Oryctolagus cuniculus: one gene and its partner. The protein of the gene in region 1 interacts with the protein of each later gene in a biochemical or structural test. Links are inferred from orthologs where the notes say so. Each region holds a gene or a part of one and is shown on either strand. Other genes may lie near its edges.

Region 1 (10,532 bases):
CGTCACGGTCACGGTCACCTGCAGCTCCTCCACCCCAGCCCGTTTGGGAGTTCAGGATCAGGCCACTTCAGAGCTGCTGTGTGACAGCCCAGAGGCCAAGGTCAGAGGCGCCCCCACCCCTGTGGTCCCCCGCTCTGGGCACTGGGCACCCACCCGAGCTGGAGATGGAGCTGGTGGTGCTAGAGGAGGGGCAGGTGTCGAGGGGTGCGGGCGAGGTGGAGGCACTGCTGCCTGCCGGGCCCGTGCTGGTGGCCTCGTCGGCCGTGCGGCGGAAGAAGCCGTGCTGCAGAGCGCCCAGCGGGCTGATGCGGGCGGCGGGCTCGTACTCCAGCATGCGCAGCACCAGGTCCTGGAAGCGGAGGTAGTCGGCGGGGCTGTGGCCCGGCTCCCCCGCCCGCCGGCCCCCGGGCCCGCCCGTCTGCACGCCCAGCACCTCCTGCAGCCGCCGTGTCCCGGGGCCCTGGTAATCCTGGCAGGGAGGGGGTGGGAGGGGGGGCAAGAGAGTGGCCGTCAGTGGGCAGGAGGGGCAGGGAGACACACACGGGGAAACAGAGAGAAGGCGGAGAGAGAGGCCAAGAAAAGCCAGCGGGAGGGCAGGAGAGATGGGGTGGGCAGACGAGGGGAAGAGGTAGGACGGGAAAGACACAGGGGAGGCGGCAGGGGGAGGGGGCGCCCCGAGTGTGAGAGAGTGAGGGGCCACCCAGGGCAGGGGGAGTGGCGCGGGGCAGGGGCCGCACCTTCCTGAGTTCCTTTGTCCTTCGTAGGGTCCAGCCACCCCCAGGCAGCCGCTCAAAGTACTTGCGGGCCTTGGGGGCCTGGTCCAGCATGGGGGCTGGCGGGATGCCTAGCACCTCCACAATGCGGTTCATCTGGTCCACCTGTGAGCGGGCAGGGTCAGGTTAGCAGGCTGGCCAGGCTCCACCCCGCCCCCTCCAGCGCACCCCTTCCTGGGGGCGCACCTCATTGGAGCCGCTGAAGAGGGGCTCCCCAGTGTGCATCTCCACGAGGATGCAGCCCAGGGACCACATGTCAATGGCCAGGTCGTAGGGCGTGCCCAGGAGCACCTCAGGCGAGCGATAGAAGCGGCTCTGGATATACTGGTAGATCTGCAGGGAGGGCGACAGTCAGGGGCCCAGCCTTGGCTAGAGGACCCAGCTGAGGACAAGCTTCTGACCCCAATCTGGAAATGGAGGATCCAGATCCCAACGTTCTCAGCACCAGTTTCCGGGGAGCCACTGCCACCACCACACTGGGCAGCGTCAGGGTCTCTGCGGGCCTGGCCCTGACCTCGCCAAACACCTCTCACACGGGGCTGCACAGCTGAAGCCCCTCCCCTCCGCCCTTCCAGGCCCAAAAGCAGCCCAGCTTCGCCCCGCCCACACCCTGCCCGCTCAGGCTTCCCCTCCCTCCTAGTGGGCAGCGCACCCTGTAGGGCTCTCCTGTGCCCGGTCACCCACCAGCCCCAGCCCGCTCTGGCCACACCCACCCGCCAGCCCCGCCCCTGCTCTGGCCACACCCACCGCCAGCCCCGCCCCTCACCCGCTGGCCCAGCTGGCAGGAGCTGCCGAAGTCCACGATCTTGATGGCGCTGCGCTTGGGGTTGCAGAGCAGGATGTTCTCGGGCTTGAGGTCGCAGTGGATGATGCTGAGCTCGGGCGTGGCCAGGAAGAGCAGCGCCGTGCAGAGCTGCTGCGCCAGCTTCCGGGTCAGGTTCAGCGAGACGCCGCGGAAGTGTGTGTTGCGCAGGAGGTCATACAGGTTGTAGGACAGCAGCTCGAACACCAGGCACAGGTGGTTCCGGAACATGAAGTGCCGCTTCAGGTGCACTGCAGGAGACGGAGAGGCGGCGGGCTCAGGGCTGGCTGCTGCTGCCCGGGTCACCCGGGAGCGCGGCCTGCGGGGACCAGCTGCTGGCCGTGATATTTTTATAACTCAGTTCACACAGGAAGTCAATCTCTTTTCTAGTCTCTGTCAAACCTTCCGATGAAACCAAAGTGAAAGTTCCCATGAGCTACAGTAAGTCTTCCACCCGGTCCCACACTTCCTCATCTAACTGTGGACCAGTCTGCAGCTTAGTTCTGTTTCAGGGACAAAGGATCCCTAAGTTTTCCTTTTAAAAGAAATCCGTTTGCCTTTCCTAGGAGGAATTAGTTCAAGAAAGAGGAACAAGCACAGTTGCTAAGAATAACGACTCTGGAGGCCTCTGCCCCGACGTTACAGCTCTGCAGAGTACAAGGGATCACCTCCTACAGGTGACGGCGCCTCGGGGCCACGGTTTATCCCGAGATGTGGACGTGGGCAGTGCCGCCCCTTCCCTCGGGCAGTCGGCCCCCAGCGAGCTTGGCCCGAGCGGCACAGAGCGCAGGCGCGCACGCGCACACACACACACACACACACACACACACCCGCCCCTCCGCGGGCGACCCTCCCGGCCTCACCTATGTAGTACTTCATCTCCGTGTCGTGCTGGTTCATCAGCTCCAGCAGCCGCAGCTCGACCTGGGCCTGGTTCAGGAAGGCCTTTTTGTTCTTGATGATCTTGATGGCCACCAGCTCCTGGGTCTGATGGTCATAGGCTTTCACCACCTGTGGGGCAGGGCAGGCCGCGTCACCAAGGGGGGCGGGGGAGGGGGACAGGGAAGGGCAGCTCCCAGCACTGCCAACACAGCTGGGTGCTCATCACGGGAGACACTGGGGCGACCAGGGCACAGAACCACGCGTCTTGCTATTAGCACTGTTTTACAGAAGGAAACAAGACGCAAGGAAAGTGACTGCGAGCGGACCTTGAAGCCACTGAGCCACCGGGAGACGGGTCAACAGGAGTGGGGGCCACGGGGCCGTGTCCACACCTGGCCGAAGGAGCCTTTGCCGATGAGCGAGTCGATCTCGTAGCGCTCCAGCCAGCGCTCGCCGCTGCGCACGATGTAGTCATGGTTGTCGTCATCGTAACCGTGGTTCAGGACCTTCTTCTCCTTCTTGGTGCTGGAGTCCTGGGGCGGCGCCTGCTGGGCCCGCCGCTTCTTCTTGGCATAGTACACCTGCCCGGCCGCCAAGGGAAACAGCGTGGTGAGTGACCTGTGGTGGCAGCCAGGCCCCTCGCGCCCGGCCCAGGGCACACCTCCCCCCCAAGCCTGGGCCCACCTCATTGATGTGCTTATAGGTCTTGATGAGGTCCACAGAGAGCTTGCGCAGCGGGGCTGAGGTGGCGTCCCGGAAGGCCAGGGGCGGCCTCCGGGGCAGCAGCCGCACATCAGGCAGCACCTGCAGGGCAAGGAGGCGGTGGGCATGGAGGCGGGTCTTCACCTCCAGCCTCAGCAAGGGCGCTGCCGGCTCCCCGCCTGCCCGGCCAGGGATCCCTGCTGGAACGGCCTCCCCATGGACGGAGCAGCCTGCCTAGAGCAGGGCCTGGCACGGCGCGGTGTTTGTCAGGCTGATGAGCGCGTGTGCCATTCATAAGGGGATTTCAACGAAGTTCTTGGGAAAATGGAATTAAGAGATTCTTTTGGTGCGAAATGCCTTTTGAAAATTCATATGCCTTTGTCATGGATTTTTGATTACAACTTTTTGAAGATCTCTTTGTATGCATGGCGTTTGTTTGTTTATTTTCGTTTGCATTTTCCTGAGTTTTCCCGGAGCCTCAGCTGGCGTTTTCACCCCCGCTTCCTCCTTCCTGAACTGCGCAGGAAAACCTGGCCCTGCCCTTGCAGCCCTCCAGCCTGACCCGCTCCACTCTGGGACCCCTCCTCGGAAGGACCTCAGCTCAATTTCCTGTGCCCCTCAGGCCTCCCAGCCTTCACCCTCCAGGCCTGAGCGCCTTCACCCGCTCTTCCTCACTAGGCTCTGGGTCTGGGGGAGGCGCCTGGCCTCCCAGTGCACCCTGCTCCGAGTCCTACACTTCAGAGCCTTCACTGCTCTGTCCTCGGTAGCTTCACCCTGTGCCACCCAGGCCCTAGGCGCTCAACTCCCCAGCCAGTCCACCTCCCCAGACGCCCCAGCCCAGCCTCCTTTGTCCCAGTGACCACTCCTGGGCATTGACGCCGGGCCAGGCGCCGTCCTCAGCATTTCTCTACCTCGTTTCACCCTCAGGGCAGCCCTGTGGGGTGGGCAGCGTTACTGGCCCCATTTTATAGATTTGAAAACTGACATCAGTATTTGAACCCAGATTCTCCCAGGTCAGGGGACCTCCACTCCCAGGGGCCCCATCCTGCCCAGGGAGATGGTTCCAGACAACCACACTGATTGCAGTCCTGAGACTCTTCCATCCCAAGTCTCCCTGACCCCCAGGGAAGTGGGCCCCCCTCAGGTGAACACATACCTGCGTGTGCTCCTGGGGCCCTGGGAAGCCAGAGAAGGGACCATGGCCTGGTGGGACAGCCATGGTGGGCTCAGAGGGCCGCAGGGGTGCGAGGCCTGGAGCGGGAGCCCGGCCGGGGGGCGCCTTCTCGCATCCTGCACCTCGGCTGCCACCGCCGCTGAGACCTGGGAGTAGCAGGAGACGGGGAGACAACACGGAACGAGGGGACATGTGGGGCGGTGCCAGGCAGGGAAGGGGTAGGCGTAAGCAATGGGGGGGGGCACAGTGACAGCAGCGACAAGGGGGACAGAGAGGGGGCAGGCAGAGCCCAACAAACGATGACCAAGTACGTGGAGGAGGCAGCAGCAGGACACATAAAAGGGAGCATTGGGAGCCAGGCGTGGTGGGGGTGGGGGACACGGGCATGCCCAGGACAGGACAGACACCGACAATCGGGGGAGAGAAGAGGATAATGACAGAAAGCACCGACCACAGGCGGCACAGGGCTCATTCTCTCCTTCCCACTTCTACCTGTGGCCGCCTGGGCCCCTCCTGCAGTCTTCCCTGAGCACCAGGGGCTCACCCCGTCCCACAGGCTCCTCTAAGCCAGAGGACTCCGGATCTGGCCGCCCCTCCCCCTTCACCACAGCCGAGCCCTCTGCAGGCCCTGGAACCGTGTCGGGGTCCTCGGGGATCTCCTAGCCACACCGGGGTGACCCGAGAGCCGCCTCTGGGGCACGCTCCCACACCAGCACACATCTCTCCCCCAAGACACCCTCCGGTCACACCAAGTCCTCTCCCCCTAGCAGGGCCTTCTCCTGGGAGCCTCCCTCACCATAGTCCACTTTCCTGCGGTCACACTGGGCTCTTCCCTGGGTCACCCCGAGACCCCCTCCCAATCAACACGTTCCTCCCGATGGGAGCAACGGGGAGGTGTCTTCCCACGCTCACGGTGATCTCCCTTTCTCCCCCCACTGGACCCCTGCCCTCCCCCACCCTGCACTACCCAATATTCCTACAAGGGCCCTTTCTCCAGTTACCCCTCTCCATACGAGAGTCGTTCCCCAGATGTGACCATTCCTAGAAGGCCCCAACAGACAAGCCCACATAATGTTTTCTACTCCCGGAGCAGCCAGCACCACAGAATCTTCTCCTCACGGGTCTTCCCCAATGTCAGATCCCTTTCTCCTTCCCACGCCTGCCACTCCAGGACCCTTACTCTCTTGGCGCTAACCCCCCCTCCCACACTAGCATCGGCTCTCCCAGCCCCCATCCCCTACCGGGGTCAGGGCTGGTGCGGGACCCACGAGGGGCTGGGGCGCGGTGGGGCCCCCAGTTGGGTGGGCGAGCGGCCAGCATGGCGGTGGCGGCGGCGGCAGTGGCGAGAAGGTGGCCGCCTGTCCCCGGCCTGGCCGGCCCGGCGAGCCCCGCGGCGGGGAGGGCAAGCGGGACAGGCGGCCCGGTGGGTGACAACAGCAGCCGCCGCTACCGCCGCCGCTGCCGGGGGCGGGGAAAGGAGGGGACTCGGGTCAGCCCAGGGCACGCGGGGGAAGGGGAGAGCAGGTGGACGGGGGAGGGGCGGGTTAACCCTCGCCCCACCCGCCCCACCCTGAGCGGCCATCCGCCTCCAGGGACCCCAGCGTCCCGCCCCCCACCCAGGAGGCCCGCCCCAGCAGGCGGGGTTTCACCGAGCTTGGCAATCTGCACCTGCCATGGCAACAACCGCGCCATTGGCCACTGCTACCAAGAGCTCAACCAATCCCAGCCTGGGGCAGCTGTTGCTAGGCAACGACGATGCGGCCGGCGGAGCCGAGCCCAAACAAAGGGCGGGAGTGGGGCCCGATTACCCCCTCCCAGCCTTCCTCCCAAGACGGCTCCCCTGGCCCGGCCTTTTCCAGGAATCGGACTATGAATAGGCAAGCGCAGCCCGCACCTGCCGGAACCTCGCTCCCCTCCTCTCTTCTCCTCCCTCGGCCTCGTGCTAAGTCTCGAAGCTACGCGGGCAGGGCGGATCCCATCCCGTCTTTCCCCCCAGCAGCGCGTGCTGCCCCGGCTGTCCCCGTGTTGTTACCTGAGGGCGCGGGCAAGGGGACTCAAAGTGCTCGGGCGGCCCGAGCTCAGATCTGCCCACTGGCTGAGGGTATCCGGCAGACACGGCCAGCCAGGGCCCTGATTACCCAGTAATGCAACCAGCAAAATGGCGACCACAACAAACCGCCCCCCCAACCCGCCCCAGGCTCCGCCCCTACCCCAGTCCGCCCCCTCACGTGACCCAGGGTAATACTCCGCGCATGCGCCCTTCCTGTGCTCACCCGCAAGCATGCGCAGTGAACTACCAATCCCGCCCGAGTAGCCGAATCCCCGTTCTGCCCGGGGGGGGGGGGGGGGGGGGGGGGGGCAGCGCGGAACAGAGCATGCGCTGTGGGGCGGACTGACCCTCCCGCCTCCCTCCCCTGCCCGCCACACAAAGTTGACCAAGGGCGCATGCACCCTGCTGTCCACCGCGGTCACGGCGCAATCAGCGGCAGACAGGGACCACGGAGAAGTCATTTTAATAGAAAAACACAGGAGCCACGGCACAACACGCATCTCTCGACATCCACACAGCACTGAACTTTAGCTCTTCACCTTGGGCGGCGGCCTGTGAGCAGATGGGGACAAGGGCGGGGTTACAGCTGGCCACCACTCGGGGGTCCGGGGGCCCCAGGACCGCCGGGCGCCGGCTCACCTGTACACGCCCACGACCACAGCGTGGTCCCTCTCGTACGGCTCCAGCGTGAGCTGCTCCTGGGGCTTCATGTTCTCCTGCTGCATTTTCTTCACCTCTGAGGCGAACACGGCCTCGGCCGAGGCGGTGGAGTCGATGCAGTTGGCCTGCGGGGAGGAAGGAGCCAGAGCCCGCGTGGTTTGCCTTTGCCTAGCACCGCCAGCGCCGCTAGGGGAAGCCTGGTTCATTAAGCAGCCTCAGGCCCAGGCCCGGCAGGAAGTCCTAGCAACCTCCTGTCACCTAAAGCTAGTTTCCCGGGCACAGGCAACAAAATGCCAGCAAGTGGCGAAGCTGGTGGCGGCTACGCGCGTTCTAATTGCAAAGTAAATGGTTCTGAAAAATGCACCTAGCGTCTGTGCAGTATCTCTTCTAAGCCCTCCATGTAGACTGAGTTGATCCTTACATCAACCCTGAGATAGGGCCAAAACGTGTATTTCACAAGACAGAGGCACACAGGTTAAGCAGCTTGCTTGAAGTTGCACAGCACAGCACGCTGGAAAACAGACCCAGCGGCCGTGCCCTTGGCCACCACGCCGCCTTGGCTCTGGACGCCACGCTTTGGGTTCTACAGGTATTCTATGCTGTGCTATCTGACCGGGGGCAGGGGAGGCTTGTGAGGAGCTGGGATAGACTGGCCAAGGCCCGCCTGCCTTTAAAAGGTTTTTAATCAACTAATTTGAGAGGCAGAGACAAAGAGAGATCGCCTATGCAACCAGAGAGGTGCTATTTGCTGGTTCCCTCCCCAAATGCTGGGAGTGGCCAGGAACCGAGGCTGAAGCCTGGGACTCAGTCCAGATCCTCCACCTGGGCGGCAGAAGTCCACTCATTTGAGCGATCACAGCAGGGGCTCAAACCCAGGTTCTCTGATATGGTGCACATGGGCATCTAACCACTAGGCTAAACACCACCCCAGTCCCCTTGTTTTGACTGGCTGCTTGGCAGAGAAAACACCTCCCTGGGACGCTGCCAGCCCACCTTCGACTCCCCCAAGCCTGGTACCTTAATGGAAATCACAAAGTGTCCTCCATTCCGCAGGAAGGTGTGGGCATTGAGAGCCACAATCCGGGTCTGGTCTGGCTGCGCCACATCAGCAAAGATCACGTCCACCATTGCTACGGGGAAAGGGCTGCCAGTCAAAGCTGGACCCACCCAAGAGCTCAGCTCCTCCCGGGGGGCCTGCGCACCATCAGCAGGCCCTGGAAGGTCTCCCTCCCCCCACACTGACCCCCTCCCTCCACAGCACCCCGAGATGGGCTCAGAATCCAGTCACGCATCATTCCTTCACTCTCAGAACCATGGCTGCCCCCTCCCTGTGGCCAGCCCTGGGCCAGACGTGGGGGACGCAGACGACTCAGACCCGGGCGTGGGGGACACAGAGACCAGTCAGACCCGGGGGCAGGGGTTGATGGACGTGTCATCAAGACGAGAGAGGGTGATCACTCATGGGCAAGCGCGCCTGCAGCACAGGGCAGTGGGAAGCGTGCCCAGGGAAAAGCTTGGAGTAGAGGGAAAGGCAGTCTGTAAGGTGTGATTTTAAAAAAGAAACAAAATAGACGATGATGTGACCTAATGAAAACTGAGCTTCAGAACTGGAAAGGGCAGGGGCTGCTCGTTCCGATCAGTTACCTCCAGGGTGGTTTTAGAGGGCGCCGCCCCTGTGAGCCCGTGTTACACCTGCTTTAGAATTTTTTTAAAACAACAGCTGTCCCATTCACAAGAGGCCCCCCAGGCCAGGCTCTGCCCAGTGTGTGCTGGCTGGGCGAGGATCTCACCAGGTGCCGACAAGGACCCTGAAGGAGGCTTTCCTGGCAAGCCAGGGCAGTGGGGAAAGGGCCATGGTTTGGGGAGGCTACAGGGGCCCTGAGGAAGGGGAGATTAGAGCAGAGGAGGGGGCCCCGTGGCCAGGTCGCCGCCTCTGCAGCCTCGCCTGCCTCCCGCTGCCCCTCTCACTCCTGTAGACTCATGAGGCCTGCGCATCGACTCGAATTCCATCCGGAGCCAGGCTCTGCCGGCCCAACCCGGAAACCTGGAGGCCTGTCCCACCCAGCTGGGCCGGCGTCCAGACGGCTCACCGATGAGCATGCGGTATTTGTGCGGGTGCCGGGCGTCTTCTATCACGGGGATAATGTTGGTCCTCTTCTTGGCCAAGTTAATGAGGTCACGGCCAGAGCGGTGGGAGAACTCAACTGCGTAGACCAGCCCATCCTAGAGGAAGTCATGTGACCGTCAGCAGTGACGCCAGCTCTCAGCACGGACAGCCTGCTCTGGGCCCTGACACGACACACGGCACCTCTTCCAACCCTCAAATCAAAACACGACCACTGGGGCCGGCGCTATGGCGTAGCGGGTGAAGCCGCCATCCCATATGGGCACTGGTTCATGTTCTGGCTGCTCCACTTTCGACCCAGCTCCCTGCTAATGGCCTGGAAAAAGCAGGGGAAGATGGGACAAGTGTCTGGGCCCCTGCCCAAAACCCTCGTGGGAGACCGGGATGAAGCTCCAGGCTTTGGCCTGGCTCAGCTCTGGCTATTGGAACCACTTGGGGAGTGATCAGCAGATGGAAGACCTGTCTCTGTAACTTTTTCAAATATATAAATAAATCCTTAAAAAAAAAAAAAAAAAAAAGCTAAAAAACTCTACCACTTACTGGCAATTGTTACTATGTCTATTTTGCGGATGAAGACATTGAAACGGGTAGACTTGAGGCTACTGGCCAAGGGTCATTCCACCAAACAGCAGGGCTACCTAATCCTGATTTGTTTGGTCTGGGAGCCCAGGCTCCCAACAGCAGCTTAAAAGCAGAGAGCCAAGGCGCAGAGGTCCAGGGGCACACGCCAGGGCCCGGGCACTGCTGTGAGCATCTTCTGGGAGCAGAGTCATGTGGCCTTCATGACCTCACTCTCCAGTGGGCAAAGTGAAGCCGAGAGGTTGGGAACTTGGCTGAAAGCCACGTCGCTGCCAAGTGTTCACACCGACGCCTTGCGTTTTGGCCACGTTATATACCCGTAAGCAAGGAAGGGAACCCGGGGTCATGGAGTGACACGCATGTGCAGGGTGCCCTGGGAATGGGAATGGGAAACCCACCCAGCCACACACAAATGCAGGCCCAGAAGCCGTGACATCTCCTCATTCCTTCAAAAGTGTTTGAGGTGGGGGAGGGGAAACCCAGTGGTCCAGCACCTACACTCCCTGCTGAGTCCCTGTGAGGTTGGTTACTCTGTGCCTCCTACTGTAAGGCCAAGTACCCAGGAGTGAAGCTGACTCTCTGGTTCAAGGAATGCCTCCGAGTCCCAGGGCCTGACCTAAGTCACAGTTCAGGGAAGCAGCCAGGCCATATGGTTGCAGGCCAGCAGGATGTGGGGGGTGTGTGTGGCCTTTCTCTCCCACCTACCTCCCCACCAGCCCTTGCTCCCCACCCAACCCGTCGATGGCCCACTCACCGGGCCCACGATGTCAGACACATGGGAGACG
Region 2 (10,037 bases), on another chromosome or scaffold:
AGTTCTGCTGTGTGACCTCGGGCAAGTGACTTAGCCTCTCTGAGCTCTGTCCATTCATAAAGTGAGGCAGAACAGCCAACAAGCAGCCACCCAAGGGGTGCTGGGAATGGAGTTAAGTTCAAGACACTGAGCAGGAGTCCTCTCACCTCCCTGGGCTGGGCTAAACCCACAGCAGGTGCTCTTACAGGGCCCGGTCACCTTCCCCTTCCCCAGCCTTGCCCCAGCCCAGCCAAGCCGGCCCCACTGCCCACCAGGCTGTCCTCCTACCTGTTGCACTCCTCCACCAGCGTCTCCCGCTCCTCCTTGCTAGGGTTCTTCTGCCTCTCGTAGGCCTGGAACAGGATCTGCTGGGACGCTGGGCCCCACTTGAAGCGGTTCCTCCTCCCCTTCTTGGTGGGCAGCTCATCGCCTGTGGGCTCCTCAGCCAGCCCGCCCTGCCCTGCGTGGGTGAACTCTGGAGGCACAGGGAGCTGTCAGGGGGCACTGGCCACGCCCACCTCCCCACAGCAGTGCCCCTGGCCACGCCCCTGCCTTCCTCTCCTTCCCAGGTGTTGACGGAGAGGAGCTCAGAGCTACAACTTGGAAACCATCTCATCCAGTGATGACCAATGCTTGTGCCACCACCTGCTTAACCCGTGTCTGAGGCAGACATCACCAATCAACACCTGCACGTTGTCTCCCAAGCCAGGAAACCATCGCACAGCCCTTCTGGATACAAGGCTCCAGGGAAGCTGAGGCTCAGGGAGGGATATCCCCTGTCTCCCAGAGTCACACAGCAGGGCAGAACCTTGAACCCTGTCACATCCTAAAGTTGATTCAGGGCTATCAGCAACTCTCAGACTTGGAAATCTGGCTGAAAACATGAGTGTCAGCCAGGAAGGAAGAGCCCTCTTCGGCTGTCTCCACTTTTGATCAGATTAGCCCTGAGCAGGCCACCAAGGAATGGGCCAGAGCGGGGAGGGGGCCGGCTCCCGCCATCCACATGCAGGAAGCCAGAGTCGCAGGAGGGACCCAGGGAGGCGCAGGGAGCTGCTGACAGCCAGGCCTTGCCCGCTGCTGCCCTGGCCCGGATGCCCACAATATCACAGCCATGGCTTCGCCACCCCTCCCTGGGACCACCCCCATGGGCCATTTGCCTTCTATCTACAACCATGGTGTGGCCCCAGGGGGCTGGCAGGGGCCTGGACCAAGATCCGGAGCACAAGGCACCAGAATGTGGCCTCCAAACCTCAAAAAAAGGCCACACCCAGGCCATCAAAACCCCGGACAGCCTGAGAAAGCATCGTCACCAGGAAGGCTGAGGGGCTAAGACGACTGCCGGCTGCACAGCGGCTGGGGCCCCGGGGCCGGGAAGGGGCCTCCGGGGAGGGTGAGGACGTCTGAACGAAGCGTGGCCATCGCCCGCGCTGTCCCTGTGGTCCTTGGTGACAAGCGCAGCGTGCTCGTGTTTATAACAGGGGAACCCGGGCGAGGGCTGCAGAGAAGTTTCTGGATTGTCCAGAAATCTAAACGAGTTCTACAACGAAAGGTTTAGTAAGTCACCAAACATACAAAGCAGGGGGCCTGCACCATTCTGGATGTGCCGGGGGCGGGGTGGGAGAGGTTTGGGGGGCCCTGAGCGGGGAGACCCCGCACAGCCGCCCTAGCCTCGCTCTCATGTCCCCGGGACACTGCCACAGCACATCCATGGGACAGCGCCCGCGGCACCACCACAGCCGTTTATCTCCGCCGCCTGGAAGGGGGAACAGCAGCTCGAGAAAGCTGCGTCCCGGGCAGGGCCAGCACTCGAGCCGCAGCGGCCGGCCCAGGTCCTTGCGTGAGTGCCATGCGATGCCCGGCTGCATCTGCTGCACCTGATAACATCCACTCCGTTGGGGCACAGCCCGCAAGTGTCACTCCCGCTTCCGCAGGAAGCAGCCCCAGTCCTCCTGGGGACCCTCCTGAGCCCACGGCAGCCCCTGGCCCCCGCCGCTTCCTGGGTCTCCTTCCAGTTACTGGCACTGCGTGGCCAGTGGCGGAGGAGGACAGAGCGGGCCCTGGGCAGTGGCGACTCAGGCTGTAAACAGAGGGGCAGAGGCCCGAGCTGCTTGTGAGAAAGAGACGGGACGCTGACTCTCCGTCTAGAGGCAAGTCCTCAGACCCGGCTGGCCTGCGGCTCTCGGGGTAAAGCCGGCGGGAGAAAGCACAGGAGGGGCGGGCGCTGGGCGCAGGGGTGAGGGAGCACTTTGGCTGGTTGGAGCCCCAGCTCCGCTTCTGATCCCAGCTTCCTGGGAGCAGCAGGTGATGATGGCTCAAGCAATTGGGTCCCTGCCACCCATGTGGAGACCCACGTTGAGTTCCTGGCTCCCCGCTGGGGACATTGAGAGAGTGACCCAGTGGATGGGCGATGCCTGTCGCCCTCTGCCTCTCTTCCCTCTCCCTCGCCTTCTCTGCCTTTCAAATAAACTTTTATAATTCATACATAGGAACAGGAGTCTACCTTCATGATCTTAGATAAAATTCTTACAACACAAAAAAAGTACCAACCATAAAAAAAAAAAAAAAAAAAAAAAAACCAGTAAGAATGGGGCCAGCACTGTGGCGCAGCGGGTTAATGCCCTGGCCTGAAGCGCCAGCATCCCATATGGGCTCCGGTTCAAGACCTGGCTACTCCACTTCCGATCCAGCTCTCTGCTATGGCCTGGGAAAGCAATGGAGGATGGCCCAAGTCCTTGGGCCCCTGCACCCGCATGGGAGACCCGGAAGAAGCTCCTGGCTCCTGGCCTCGGATCAGCGCAGCTCGGGCCGTTATGGCCATCTGAGGAGTCAACCATCAGATGGAGGACTTCTCTCTCACTCTCTCTCTGCCTCTCCTCTCTCTGTGTAATTCTGACTTTTAAATAAATAAATAAATCTTAAAAAAAAAAAAAACAGTAAGAACTTCTGTTCATCAAAAAGCAGTCTGGAGAACAGCGTGGGGAGATACACTTGCTGTGGATCTACTTGCAAAGGGACTCGTGGGCATGGTATCTTTTTAAAACTCCTACAGACCCACCATTAAAAGGCAGATGACCTGAGAGCCAAATGGGACGCCCCACATGGGGACTCGTGGAGGACATGAGAGCTAAGTGGGCAGTTCAGACCCCAGGGTCCCATTCAGAGTGCATGGGTTCAGCACCCAGCTCTGGCTCCCAGGCCCAGCCTCCCGTGAGCGCACACCCTGGGAAGCAGGGATGATGATCAAGCTTCCAGGCTCCTGCCACCCGTGGAAGCCCTGGCTCCAGCTCCCAGCTCCCAGCTCTGGTCCGGCCCAGGCTTGGCTACTGTAGGCATTCGGGAGTGAACCAGCGAGTGAGAGCGACGTCTCTGTGCGTGTCTCTCTCAAAGGTAAACTAATACAGATTTTTCTAAAGCCACAGTACCATGCCACCATCTCCACAGCTAGAATGGAAACTACGGACACTACCAGGTGCTGGCAGCGCTGCCTGGAGCTCCTGGGGCTCAGACACTGTGGCTGGGGTGCCGACGGCTGTGCAGCGGCACCTGTGAGGGTGGAGCTCACCCAGTCATTCCAAGCCCAGCAGAAGTGGATATGCACTCAGAGAGAGCCACATACTAGAACATTCACAGGGACACTGTTCACATCAGCAAAGCGTGGGGAGAAACCCCGAGGCCTGCCAAAGACGGAATTAGTCCATTGGATTCACGTAGCGGAGTGGGCCGGCCTGGGACACAGGGGCAGAAGATGAGTTTGCGCCCATGATACGGAGAAGCAGCAGCCACTGCTGGCTTGATTTTATGTGCAACTCAGAAAGAGCCACAGTAGGGCTCTGATGACGGAAGTCAGGGTTGGGGTCCCTCTCCCGGGAAGGGGAGGCTTGCGGGAGCTGGTGCTGCTCTGTGGTGGTCATGTCCGCGGCTACAGCGGCGGCTTCACCTTGTGCTAAGCCTAGAAGCTAAGCCTAGTTCTAACAGATTTTCAAAAAATCATTTAGTTGTTTTTAGTTTGAGAGACAGACAGAGCTCGGATCCACCGGTTCACTCCCCGGTGCCACAACAGCCGGGACTGGGCCAGGCCTACGCTGAAAGCCTGGAACTCAATCCCGCGCTCCCTTGTGGCCGGCAGGGACCCGGCTAGTTGAGCCATCCCCACTGCCTCCCAGGGTCTGCTCAGTAGGAAGCTGGAGTCGGGAGCTGGAGCGGGGACCGAGCCCAGGCAGTCTGATAGGGGACACTGGCTTCTGAACCCCCAGGCCAAACACCCACCTCTCCAAGGAAGTTTTTATTATTCTCACAGAAAATGTTCAAAGTACAAAACATGCATTGCTTTGCACTTGCTTTCCCAGTGTGCACTGAAGGGCAGCAGAAGCGAATGCCCCAGCGCTTAGAGCCAGGGTAGGCATGGGCAAGGATCCGAGGTTGTGTGGGGTGCGTTTTTTTCCAACAGTGATTTTTTCTGGTGGGCAGGCAAATGGAGGCCACTAGTTTAAAACAAACTATGGCAGTGTCTGCCAAATGTTTTATGTATTATTTATTTATTTATTTGAAAGACAGAGTGACAAAGGCAGGGAGAGACAGAAAGAGAGAGATTTTCCATCCACTGGTTCACTCTCCAAATGCCCACAACAGCCAGGGCATTTGGACCAAGCCAAAGGCAGGAGCCAGGGACTCCATCTGAGTCTCCCACATGGGTGGCAGGGAGCAAGCACTTGGGCCAACACCTGCTGCCTCCCAGGCACATCAGCAGAAAGCTGGGTCAGGAGCAGCAGTGGGACTTCATCCCGCCTCTCTGATGTGGAGAGTGGGTGTCCCAGGCAGCGACTTAGCCTGCTGTGCCGCGGTGCCTGACCCGCAGCAGAGATGCTAAAGCTCCTGCCCTCCAGCCCAGCGTCCCACCCCGGGAGTGATTGCTGCAGACACACTCAGTGAGCACAAACTTAGGCAAATACGATTGTTCGCTGCAGCAGACGGTTGTAATTACAGATTGGGAAAACCCTAGAAGTCTGTGGGTCGGTGGCCAGTTAAACCAGTAATGGTGCCTCCACCAAGGGCCAGAAGCCCCTTGAAAGAGTAAGATCAGTGAGAAGATGTATCTGATGGGGTCCATGTTTGGTGCAGCCGTGAAGACGCCCCTGGGGACCCCCACACCCCATGCTACAGTGCCTGGGCTCCGGTCCCAGCTCCTCTCTTTGCTCCAGCTTCCTACTGACGCACACACTAGGAGGCAGCAGGTGACGGCTCAGGGAGCTGAGTGAGTCCCTGCTGTCCCCATGGAAACCTGGATTGAGCTCCTGGCTCCTGGCTGTGGCCTGGCTCCATGCTGGCTGTTGCGGGCATTTGGCGAGGGAGCCAGTAGAAGGGACTTCTCTCTGTCTCTCTCCTCCCCTCCCCGCCTCTCTCTCTCTCTCTCTCTCTCTCTCCCTGTCTGTGAAGATGGATGAGCAGATGGGTGCAAGAGATCTCCCGGGGGTGAGAGGCTCCCAGCCCCCTCTTCGGAGTGGGGCGCGTCCTGGAGTGGTTACTTACGCTGGGCCACCTCTCGCTGCTTGCGGACGTACCAAGTGTACAGGGCAGCACGCTTCTGCGTCTTCATGGGGGTGCCTTTGTTGAGGTGCTGGGACAGGTGCGACTGGTTGAGGCCGGTGGTGTCGACCACCTCGCGCTGCGGGATGTTGTGCTGCTGCAGGTACGACTTGACCATCTTGGCCACGCGCCACGGGTCCTCCCTGGGAGGAAGGCGAGGACAGCTCGGCTCAGCGGGGGGGGGGGGGGTCTCCAGGGGGCCCGTGAGCACTTGCCAGTCGTGGAGGTGGGGACCGTGGATGACAGCAGCTGTGCAGCCTGCACCCAGCCCTGGAGGTAGGGAGGTGTTGTCACTCATGCCAAGACACAGGGACGTGGGGACCGAGACTTGGAGACATGTGGACACCAACGTCAATGTGAGTGGACTCCTGACTGCACAGGCCCCTTGGGGAGGGTCCTCCCCAATTGGGCCTTTAAAGTGCTTCCCCTCATCCTACCTGACAGTGTTACTGGTGGCCGTGCTATTCACTGAGGGTCTGGGAGTGGACATGTTAGGTGGGAAATGTCTGGTTCTCACTCAGCACCCGAAGTGGGCCTGACAAAGAGTAGGCCATTAGGGCACACAGGGACGAGTGGGTGGGTGTGGGATGGGTGGGCAGAGGGACAGGCGGATGGGTGAGAAATGGATGGATGGATGGATGGTAGATGGGTGGAGATTGGATGGCAGATGGGTGGGTGGGTGGATGGGTGGATGGGAGGATGTGTGGATGTGTGGATGGCAGATGGGTGTGTGGATGATGGATGGGTGGGTGGATGGATGGATGAGGGAGATCTACCAGAGAAAGAAAAACACTGAACCTGAAAACAAGGAGGAGAATGCAGGCTCTCCCATTTTATAGCCAGCACCACTGCGGCTCAGAGAGCTCACCCCACTTGCCTGTGGATGGGGCCAGCCCCACTGCGTGCCCTCCCACCAGAAGGGGTTTGGTTTAAGTCGCCAGCCCATCAGGCAGAGATCGCAGAGCCGCGGTACCTCCTGAAAACCTGCGCCCTGCCCTCGGCAGCGGCCGGCTGACTTCCCAGAGAGCAGGGCACCTGCTGCTTCTTCAGCAGGGTCCCAGGGGAAGGGGTTACGGGCACGCAGGGGCCTCCGTGAGCCAGTACTGTGTGCGTGAGCCCTGGGCTCCACGCCCCAGGCTGAGCTGCTCCCGATGGCCTCCAGCAGGGAAGGTGTGCGGGGGCCGGGTGAGGGGTCGCATGCATCAAAGCACGTGACGCACTGATGGTACACGCTACGCCATCTCCACACACAGTCTTCCTTCGGCGTCCACGGGGGAGCGGGGCCAGGACCCCTTGCAGACACCAAGCTCCGCGGATGCCCTCATCCCTCGGAGAGCCCGGCTTAGTATTTGTGTGTAACCTTCAAGTGTCATCCGAGGACTTTAAGTCACCTCTAGGAGGCGCATGCTCTTTAGGGAACAGTGATACGGCCGCCCCACGACGACAAGCCTCCAGCACTGGGAGGCTGACCACCACCCTGTCCTCAAGGACCGGCCCTGGCCGGGCTGTGCCAGGTGCCAGGTGCCAGGGCACAGAGCTCTGCGTGCCTCAGCTCTGCCCCTCTGTCTGCTGTTTTATCAGCCCCTTCCAGAAAGGCAAAGACGGGAAGAGGGAGGGGACAGGGGCCTCTCAGGAGGTCAGCAGCGGGCACATGACGTCCCGCTTGTGGACAGAGGGAAGCCGGGGGGAAGCGTGTTCCCTGCAGATTCTCTCTGAGCCCGGCGCTGTGCTAGGGGCTGGCTGCCTCAGGCTTCCAGCGACTCCAGGAAGCAGGTGCCGCTCCCATGCCCACTCCACAGGTGAGAAAACCGAGACTCCGGAAGCTGACGTCACTTGCCCAGGGTGACACCCCTGGGAAGAATATCTCATAGTACGCCCCCCCACCCCCCGCCAACAGTCCTCTCCCTGGCTCTGCTTCTCACTGATTTCAGAGGCTCCTGGGGTCCTCTCTTCCCCACCGCTCCCCTCCCCCCACGCCGAGAGAGCCAGGAGGGAAGGGCGGTCCAAAGTGCAGCCTGCCACCGTGTCTGGCAAACATGTTTATCTGATTGCAGGGCGGGCGGCCCCATGGCCTCCCTCCCCCACCCCAGCCACCACCCTCTGCCCTGCCTCCCGCGGCGGAAGGTCCACTGCCTGCTGCTGCCCTGTTCATGTCCATCCTCACTCTTTGTGCCCCCCTCTCTCTCTCCCTCCCTCTCTCCCTCTCCCTTCCTCCACCCCTGCCCCAATCTCCAAGAACACAGCTCCTTTGTCAGCACAGCTGCCCCAGCTCAGAACCATGGCCAGGTCTCCAGGCATTCCCCTGCTGACTACGCCCCAGCTCCTGTGCACTCGCACAGCCCATGCCTGCCCTGCGACACAGGGCAAATCCGCGCCTCACTCCTGCAGCTGCTGGGAGAGCTGGGTGCGTTTCGCACAGGGATGAAGCCCTTCAGACAGGGCCTGGCGAGCAGAGGGGGCTCAGGAAGTGGGACAATGCTGAGGCATCATCATGATCATCCTCCCTGGCCCCCTAGTCCAGGGGAGCAAAGCCCAGGAGGGGTGAAGCCCTGCCTGCATCGCCCTCCTCTTGCCTCCCCCCTGGCCGCAGCTTTGGGCCTTCTGCTCTGTGGCACCCTTGGTTTCAGGTCATCCAAGGTCGTGGAGCTGGGAGAGACCCAGGCTGAAGGGCCGCTCACTGGGAGGGAGAGCCAAATTCTCAGCGTGAGAGTTTAGACCTGAGTTCGAATCCGGCTCTGCCACCCGGCACCCATATGGCCTCGGGAAGTTGCCCAACCTTCACCACGTGACTCAGCCTCCTCCCTGTGCAATGCCGCTGCGGATGCGTCACACTTCCGGGACAGCCGGTGCTGGCTGTAAGCCCTCCTGCGTGGAGGGGCGCTCACGGGCAGGGTGAACGGCAAGAGCAAGTGGGAGGGGAGGGCCAGTTGCATGACCACAGAAAGGCAGGGCTACAGAGTACAGAGAGGGGGGGAGAGAGAGAGAGAGAGAGAGAGAGAGAGAGAGAGAGAGAGAGAGAGTCTTCCATCCGCAAGTTCACTCCCTAAATGGCTGCAACAGCCAGGGCTGGGCCAGGCCAAAGCCAGGAGCTGGGAGCTCCATGCAGCCCTCGAGGGGAGCCGTGCACAGTGTGGGGTAGGAGACTCGGGCCCAAGTCCTAGACTCGCTGCTTGGGAAGTGACCTTGAGTCGGTCACGTTGGCTCTTGGAGCCCTCATTCGCTCCTCTGGAAGTCAGGAGTACAAGGCTGTGAGCGTCCTGCCTGAGCCCGTGGGATTTACCGTTATCTCCATCTTGTGGGGGGAACCCCCTGCCTGGGCCAGAAAGGGGGCAGAGCTGCATCTCGAGCCCAGGCAGGCGGCTCCTCCGTCCTGCCTTGGTTCTCAGTGCCACCCGCCGAGGGGGATCCGAGGGCTCCATGGCTGAGGTCTGAGATGCTCGGGGCCGGGGAGGACCCCTGGGGAGGAGCCCTGGGTTTCCGGCTGCTCTGTGGGCCACGCCTCCATCTGCTGGGCGTTGGCCAGCTGGGAGCAAATGTCCACAGCAAAGCTGAATTGTAGCCACCCATTGGTTCACTCATTCATTCATTCTGGGTGTCCACGCCTGGGCCAGGTATTAGGGGTCTGAGTGGTGGAAAAGGCGTCCCAGGCCTTGCCCTTGAAGAGCTGCTGTCCTCATGGACCCAGGCAGAAAACAAACAGATAAACACAAAGCAATGATAAGGGACAGAAGAAAGTAGGAGAGAGAGTGGCTGGGGGTGGGGTGGACAGAGGACTGGGGAGAAATGGGGCTTGAAGCAGGAGGACCAGCATGGCAAAGGCCTTGAGGTGGGGATCAGTGTAGCTGGGGCAGAGCTAGAAAGGGAGCAGGCCAGGGGGGGTCCGGGAAGTCGCTGGGGGGACAGAGCCAGAGCAGGGTGCTGGGTTTGATCCACGGTCCATGTAGGGAGACTGGGGCAGAAGGAGGGGAAAGAGAGTTGCCCAGGGTCATATGGGGAACCAAGGGGCGAGGTCTGAGGGAGAAAGCTCAAACCTGGGGCACCCCAGGGAGACCCAGGACCCGGGACCCCGCCCTGACCCTTCCCGGTCTCATCCGGGTCTCACATGGGAAGTCCTGCCTCTGCACCATCTCGAGCCTCAACCTCCCCCCAAGCCCAGGCCTTCCAGGGGTCCCCAGGCCTCTCGGCCCCCACCTGACGCCAGAGGCCCCCCTTTTATCCCGTGGGGCGTTCTCAGATCCCTTTTGTTACCTGAACAATAAGTAACCCAGGTAGTTAGTTATAAACCCTGCGGGAACAGGATCTGGTTGATAATTTATAGCAACATCTCAAATTTAAATGGAAAGTAAACAGCATGCTGTTAGCATTCAAGAAAACCCAGGCGGCTTGGGAGGGGAGCGGGCGGCCTCCCCGAGCTGGGGTGCCTTCTGCCCGCTGGGCCTGAGCCCCTCTCCCCTCCCGGGCAGCTCCAGCCTCTC

What was found. The genes of interacting proteins can lie anywhere in the genome.
Region 2: of the proteins of DYRK1B (region 1) and HNF1A, one has a biochemical effect on the other in vitro, tested with the Homo sapiens proteins (2 studies listed by IntAct, with this or other methods). The link is inferred for Oryctolagus cuniculus from reciprocal best matches to the Homo sapiens genes DYRK1B and HNF1A.

Annotation. Positions count from the first base shown.
Region 1 is NC_091449.1:14,150,255-14,160,786, reverse strand, and holds the start of DYRK1B (dual specificity tyrosine-phosphorylation-regulated kinase 1B), read right to left. Parts: upstream 5,801-10,532; 5' UTR 5,654-5,800; coding exon 5,575-5,653; intron 4,951-5,574; exon of another isoform or gene 4,826-4,950; intron 4,480-4,825; coding exon 4,316-4,479; intron 3,262-4,315; coding exon 3,142-3,261; intron 3,039-3,141; coding exon 2,850-3,038; exon of another isoform or gene 2,746-2,849; intron 2,587-2,745; coding exon 2,439-2,586; intron 2,253-2,438; exon of another isoform or gene 2,142-2,252; intron 1,827-2,141; coding exon 1,540-1,826; intron 1,107-1,539; coding exon 960-1,106; intron 879-959; coding exon 738-878; intron 470-737; coding exon 154-469; intron 1-153. Other genes in the region: FBL (rRNA 2'-O-methyltransferase fibrillarin), read right to left, coding at 6,911-6,935, 7,023-7,168, 8,061-8,173, 9,134-9,266, 10,502-10,532.
Region 2 is NC_091452.1:16,944,964-16,955,000, reverse strand, and holds part of HNF1A (hepatocyte nuclear factor 1-alpha), read right to left. Parts: intron 5,706-10,037; coding exon 5,506-5,705; intron 455-5,505; coding exon 268-454; intron 1-267. UniProt on the Homo sapiens protein: Transcriptional activator that regulates the tissue specific expression of multiple genes, especially in pancreatic islet cells and in liver. Binds to the inverted palindrome 5'-GTTAATNATTAAC-3'.